2 linked regions of the Callithrix jacchus genome follow. The main gene of each other region encodes a partner of the protein of the gene in region 2 in a complex. Links are inferred from orthologs where the notes say so. Each region holds a gene or a part of one and is shown on either strand. Other genes may lie near its edges.

The links.
Region 1: the proteins of ETFB (region 2) and ETFA are in contact, whole or in part, in a crystal structure (PDB 2A1U), measured with the Homo sapiens proteins. The link is inferred for Callithrix jacchus from reciprocal best matches to the Homo sapiens genes ETFB and ETFA. Residues at the interface, in NP_001976.1 of Homo sapiens: Ile14, Tyr16, Val18, Ile20, Val22, Val29, Thr31, Phe41, Leu102, Arg106, Lys124, Gln125, Ile127, Asp128, Asp129, Asp130, Cys131, Asn132, Gln133, Gln136, Met137, Ala139, Gly140, Phe141, Asp143, Trp144, Pro145, Gln146, Thr148, Phe149; in NP_000117.1 of Homo sapiens: Glu27, Leu88, Pro89, Glu90, Ser113, Ala114, Phe115, Lys117, Asn118, Pro121, Arg122, Ala124, Ala125, Lys126, Glu128, Val129, Ala130, Pro131, Ile132, Ser133, Arg146, Thr147, Ile148, Tyr149, Ala150, Gly151, Asn152, Ala153, Leu154, Cys155.

The regions. Positions count from the first base shown.
Region 1 is NC_133509.1:24,723,954-24,727,453, reverse strand, and holds part of ETFA (electron transfer flavoprotein subunit alpha, mitochondrial), read right to left. Parts: intron 3,319-3,500; coding exon 3,219-3,318; intron 1,852-3,218; coding exon 1,741-1,851; intron 1,105-1,740; coding exon 1,003-1,104; intron 1-1,002. UniProt on the Homo sapiens protein: Heterodimeric electron transfer flavoprotein that accepts electrons from several mitochondrial dehydrogenases, including acyl-CoA dehydrogenases, glutaryl-CoA and sarcosine dehydrogenase.
Region 2 is NC_133523.1:44,945,457-44,948,956, forward strand, and holds part of ETFB (electron transfer flavoprotein subunit beta), read right to left. Parts: intron 3,029-3,500; coding exon 2,870-3,028; intron 2,317-2,869; coding exon 2,158-2,316; intron 138-2,157; coding exon 75-137; intron 1-74. UniProt on the Homo sapiens protein: Heterodimeric electron transfer flavoprotein that accepts electrons from several mitochondrial dehydrogenases, including acyl-CoA dehydrogenases, glutaryl-CoA and sarcosine dehydrogenase.

The sequences.
Region 1 (3,500 bases), on a different chromosome or scaffold from region 2:
GATTCTCCTGCCTCAGCCTCCTGAGTAGCTGGGATTATATTACTCGCCACCACGCCCAGCTAATTTTCTGTATTTTTAGTAGAGATGGGGTTTCACTATTGGCCAGGCTGGTCAAACTCCTGACCTCAGCTGATCCATCTGCCTTAGCCTCCCAAAGTGCTGGGATTACAGGTGCTGGGCATTGTGGCACATGCCTGTAATCCCAACTACTCAGGAGGCTGAGGCAGGAGAATCACTTAAACTTGTGAGGTGGAGGTTGCGGTCAGCCAAGATTATGTCATTGCACTCCAGCCTGAGAGACAAGAGCAAAACTTTGTCTCAAAAAACAAAAAACCAAGTCAGATACATCATTTCAAAATATTATTTTTTCTCAGTGCCACTTTTAATAAAGATTGTCTGAAAGCTTAATTATTTTGTTGAATGTTTAATTTGCAAGGATTTAAAAAGCACAGCAGTCCTTATGCTTTCAAAGTCAGTCAGTGGGCCATAAAAAACCATTGTTTTTAAAGACAAGGAGCATGGTATACAAAAATAAGCATGTCCTATGCAATATTAACAGTTTTGATATTACATGTTAAGTAACGTTTTAGAGTTATACACAGACATGGGCAACTCTGGAAATTTTTCCAAGTGGAACAAAGGGAGGAATTATACACAAGTCCTGAAATTCCAACCAGTTCTGTCTACAATTCAGAAGCCAACCATACTCTGCAGAATACACAGAAGTCTATCAGTAAGATGGTACCAAGTGGCAAAGCTACAGAGATGAGATTTATACCATGCTCCCCCTGGTGCCAGTGACTAGGTGTGCAACAGAAACCCAAACTGTGTATTACGTTCATAATTTCATTTTCCTAACTGGTTAAATGGGAACAATAGCTGAAACTTCTCAATTTCTTATATTTGAAAAAGATCCATGTACCTCTAATATTAAAAAAAAAAACAAGCAAACAAAACAAAGTATTTTCAGTTTACATATTTTAAGATTAATATTCCACTTACCACCAGATACCACCACTTTGGCACCTGTTAACTCTGGTCGATCACTTTTTGTTAATTTCTGGTCAAGCCACTCTGATATTCCTACTGGTGAAGTACTTGATGCTGCACACATTAATACACATAAAACAATGACTATGATTTCAACTTCCATGACAATAATTATTTTTCAGAAAAACACACAAGTATGTAATTCCATGAAATTTAAGTTTGTTAATTACTGTGAATTTTCTATGCTCCTAATTCGTTCTCTCTGATTATGGAAAGACTTAACGAGACTAGATTCCAGCCTTTGCCACATTAGTTGTATTACTTGAGAACACATTTAATTCTCTGAGTCTGAATATGGAATAACTTTCTTTCTATAAGGTTTAAATAAGACACTGTATATGTTAAAGCATAACACCCTCTACACATTTACTATTATTACATTCTTCTGTTATATTGAATCACCTAAATATCATAATAGGAAACAGTGACAAGAGTAAAAAAGCTTAATATTAATAGACCCTCTGTCTCCTACTTCCTTGATCTACCAAAGCAACTATCCTAGTATCAAAGATGATGTGAAAAAGATGTAAGTTATATATATTTATTATTTTTGTACAAACTTGGGAATATCATTTAAATTGAACTTTAAAATACTATGCATTAGAAATTTAAGCAGAGGTCATCTCTTTTGTTATTATTTAGTCTATGAAAAAAATAAACAAAACCAAAAAACTCCAAATGAACACTCACCCTTTTCTGAACTGCCACTACCGCCACTTGTTGCTGCAGCTTCAAAAGATGTTCCACGGACTGAAAACACTTTCACTTTCTCATCACACTTCACTGTACATACAGCATTTCCTGAAACACGCAATCTATTTTTAAAAAGCAACAACAAAAGGCAACAAAACTAGTATTCCTTTGATGCTTGGAATTTACTTCACAGACAAGGCAAGAAATAACCGTTGACAAGTTGTTTTCTAACTCTATTAAGTATAAGAAAAAGTGGACCATAACAGTGAAGAAACATATCAATAGATATTTGTATAACCCTGGATGTCTTTAGAAGCAGGGCAAGTACTACCACACCGAGGAGGAGGAAACTGCAACAGGCAGCCACACTAAGAAGGCACACTACACCCCTAAAAGGAATATGAACAAAGCTTCCTTTTCCAAATACAATACAATCAGTAACTCAAAACTATGAGCTGCAACAACCTAATAAGAACATAGCTACTATGCAAGCTAAAGGAGGAATACCTTGAAAACACAATGAGTCATAAAGAAAAGGTATGGATGTGCCAAGATTTTGAGGATTTGAGACACCCTGGATTAGCTATCACAGTAACAGTAACCTAAACTACAACAAAATATTTTTCCACAAACATTACATAAGATGAAAACTCTGATTTGAGAATTAGCCATTTATAATGAAATATACAACTTTAATCAGAAAAAAAACGAAGAGTTCACTGCCTTCTCCAACCCCACTAGAGAGCACTGTGTTTAGCAAAACATCAAACAACTGAAGAGACAATGAAATGCATATCTTTTTTTTTTTTTTTTGCCTGAGACAGGGTCTTGCTCTGTTGCCCAGGCTAGAATGCTATGGCATGATCACAACTCACTATAGCCTAGACCTTCTGGCTCAAGCAATCCTCCCACTTCAGCCTCCTAAGTATCGGACTACAGACACATGCCACCATGCTCAGCTAATTTTTTATTTTATTTTTGAGATGGGGGTCTTATCATGTTGCCTAGGACAGACTCGAACTCCTGAGTTCAAGTAATCCTCTCACCTCAGCCTGCCAAAGTGCTGGGATTACAGGCATGAGTCACTGCAGCTGGCTGAAATGAATTTCTTAATGCAGAAGGAAATGAGGTAGAAGCAGCAAAGACTGAGAGAATACTATCTTTTTTTAAAGTTTTGTTTATCCAGGTGCCACTTACAAAATATATTGAATAGTGAATCTAATTTTTATTGACCACTAGGAAAATATCACTCTGCAAACTGAATGACCAGGCAGGTAAACACTGTGCTTGTGATCCATCAGAGAGAATGCCTTATCAAGGGTCCATCAGCAATTCTAGACTAAAATTTTCCTCAGAAACCTTTAAGATGGTCCACTTAAAGCAACTGTATGGCTTGATTTAAAATTCTACCTTCAAGATTAATTTATGCTTTTCACTAAAATTTAACATGTTAATTATCTTCCTTGAGTACTCACCTGCATAAATAGTTCTCACAAATGTGTCAGGTGACTTGATTGCAATGATGTCAGAAATTGGGGCAACCTCAAGTTTGGCTGCTACTCTGGGCAAAAGGTTCTAAAAGCAAGATAAGCAGTGAGTTACACACATACATAGTGATGAATAACTATAAATCATCAATAATGACATTCTAAATGCATATTTTGTAGAAATTTTAATTCAGATATTTTATATGTCATGTGCACCTTTGAATATACAATTGCAAGCACAGGTTTTTGAATAGTCTTAGAGATTGAGTG
Region 2 (3,500 bases):
AGGGCCTGAGGCAGAAATGAAGTCGGAGGGATGAGGGCCTGGCCCTCAGCAGGTGCTCCCCACTCCAGCCTCACCTGTGGCCAGTCAAGAAATCCAGCTGTCATCTGCCCCGTCTGGTTACAGTCATCATCGATGGCCTGAATGGGGAGAGACAGAAGACTGTATGACGATCAATGGAGCTCACGGACCATTCGGGTCTTTGTCTAGTTTTTCTTTCTTTCTCTTCTTTTTGAGTCTTGCTCTATTGCCCAGTCTGGAGTACAATGGTGCAGTCTCGGCTTACTTCAACCTCTGCCTCCAGATTCAAGCAATTCTCCTGACTCAGCTACCTGAATAGCTGGGATTACAGGCGTGCACCACCATGCCCAGCTAAATTGTATATTTTCAGTAGAGACAGGGTTTTACCATGTTGGCCAGGCTGGTCTCAAACTCCTGACCTCGGATGATCATCACCCCCTTGGCATCCCAAAGTGCTAGGATTACAGGCATGAGCCACCACACCCAGCGGGTTGGTAAACTTTTTCTATGGTGGAATAGATGTAGTAAATATTTTAGGCTTTGCAGGTCATACAGTCTCTGTCACAATGACTCAGCTCTGCTGCTGTGGCACACAGGTAGGCATAAATAATATGTAAATGAACCTATGTGGTGATGTTCCAATAAAGTTTTATTTATAAATCAGTGGTAGCTATGGGCCATAGTTCATTGACTTATGTCTAAATCCCCTCACTTGGGCCCAGAGATAAGCAGCCACTTGTCCAGGGGCATGTGGGGCCACATGGCATCCCTGTCACCAAATCTCTGCCCTCTGTATAAAGCCTCTCAGGAGTCCTGCCCTGTGGCCCCTGGGCAGCTGGATGAAGAGGATCTGGGCTGGCGAGGACCTCCTAGCCCTAATCCTAGTGATTGATTCAGGGAGGAGCACATTACTCAAGCTGCACCAAAGAAGAGTCAACCCTGGGAGCTTTGCTGGAGCCCTTGGCAAAGAGGCTCCTTTCTTTCTGCTGGGGTCACTGGGCTGGTGGGATCTGAGCCTGGAGATGCAGACATTGAAGCCAAGATAGAGGGGAGCCTAGAGCTCATGTGGGACTCTGGATCAAGCTGTGCCTGAAGCACCTGATTTACATGAGATCCCCTGAGGAGGGATGGTGTCCCAGGGTCTTCTGAGGGAACAGATGAGCCCCATGCACCTCTGCCCCAGTGGAGAGCACCAGTGTGGCAGAGGAGATTCTGGTCGGGTCCTCACCCAGCCCTAACCTTCTTCACTAATTCCTGGCCTCCAATCTCTGCTTCCAGTCCATTCTCGAAGCCCAAGGGGGCTCTTTCTGCATCTAGTGCTGATCCCCTCCCTATTCTGCTCATAGACTTCCCATAGCTCCCCAGTGCCCTCCAAAATTCTCAAGTCTCCTGAACCTATATCAATGTCTCCTGGGCTCTTCACACGCCCCATGTAGGATCTGCCTGTAACGTCCTGTTCTTCCCAGGTTTCCTACCTGTGTTACTGAGGCAGACCCAGGCACTGTCCTTGCCTCCTCCCTGCCCTCCCTCCCCATGGCTAAGCCCAGTCTCTCCTGCCATATCATGTCTCTGCTCTGTCCCATCAGGTTTGGCCCAGGCCTCATTCTCCCCAAGTGACCATCACCTTAGTCTCCCAGTCTCTAAACTCACCCAAGAGGATCTTTCTCTTTTTTTTCTTTTTGAAAGAAACTCTGCCCCCAGGTGATCTTGTATCGTTGCAACCTCTGGCTGCCAGGTTCAAGTGATTCTCACACCTCGGCTCTCAAGTACCTGGGATTATAGGCGCCTGCCACCATGCCTGGATAATTTTTCTATTTTTAGAAGAGACAGTGTTTTGCCATGTTGGTCATGCTGATTTCAAACTCCTGACCTCAAGTGATCTGCCCACCTTGACCACCCAAAGTGCCTGGATTAAAGGCATGAGCCATCGTGCCTGGCCCAGGAGGATCTAACACCTAGAGGGACTCTGTCCTCCCTACTCAAATTCTCTATCAGAAGGGACAGCAAAGTCCCAAGCTGCTCAGCCTGGAGTGGCTGAATGCCCTGGGCCTGGCCACCTGCTGTCCCATCCCACATCCCCAGCACCCTCCTCCTGAGCAGGGATGAGCCGGGGCACAAGGAGGGGCTGACCACAGCTACCTGCTTGCCCAGCAGCACCAGGTCCACCTTCTCCTTCTCTGCCAGCTTGGCCAGGACCCGAGCCACCTGCAGGGGACCCAAGCGTTCTGCTTCTGCCGGGGGCACCTCCACATGGATACCTCGGTCTGCACCCATGGCAAGGGCGGTACGAATAGTCTCCTGCCAAGGACAGAGGAGCCTGACTTGGCTACTATCCCCAGAGGGACCCAGGAATCTGGACCCCATCCCCTCCTCCCTCAGACCCAGGAATCTAGCTTCCATCCCCTCCTCCCTCAGACCCAGAAGTCCAGGCCCCCAGCCCCTCCTCCCTCAGACCCAGGAGTCTGGCCCCCATCCCCTCCTCCCTCAGACCCAGAAGTCCAGGCCCCCATCCACTCCTCCCTCAGACCCAGGAGTCTGGCCCCCATCCCCTCCTCCCTCAGACCCAGAAGTCCAGGCCCCCATCCCCTCCTCCCTCAGACCCAGGAGTCTGGCCCCCATCCCCTCCTCCCTCAGACCCAGGAGTCCAGGCCCTCAGACCCTCCTCCCTCAGACCCAGGAGTCCAGGCCCTCAGCCCCTCCTCCCTCAGACCCAGGAGTCTGGCCCCCATCCCCTCCTCCCTCAGACCCAGGAGACCAGGCCCTCCCCAGACTCTGAGCACCTGGCACTGTGCAGGCCCACAGCCCCTCCTCCCTCAGACCCAGGAGACCAGGCCCTCCCCAGACTCAGCACCTGGCACTGTGCAGGCCCACAGCTGACGGCGATGACCTCCTTCAACAGCTTCTTCTCCTTGAGCCGCACAGCCTCCTCCACTGCAATCTCGCAGAAGGGGTTCATGGAGTGCTTCACACCATCCGTGACCACACCCGTCCTATCAGGCTTCACTCGGATCTGCTCAGCAGGAGGGCAGGAGGCGGGGTCAGGAGGAAACAGGCCAGAAGGTGGGGGCCTCCGTGCCATCTCTCTCCCAGGTTAGAAGGGGACAACAGTCTGGAAAGGGGCAGGGCCTTGTCCAGGGTCACACAGCTTCAGGGACAAGCTGGGTTAGAGCTTGTAGGCAGGGGCAGGTCACCCTCTCTCCTCCTCTCATCCAGCCATTCCTGGGTACCAGGGACATCTGACATGATCATCCCTACTCTGTCACTGCTCCTTATCAGGCCTGAAAGAGTGGTTCTCAAATTTACAGTATTTACGGTTACCCAGAGTGAGAGGTGCATTTTTCCATATCCCCAAGTGTATATAAAGACATAACACACTGATAAATAAATACAAATGAGGAGAAGAAAAGGAAAAATCAGTTAGGTAGACAGTAAAGCCTGGTACTCGGAGAAGCAGCCTGCCTGAAAAATCATAGCTACAGGCA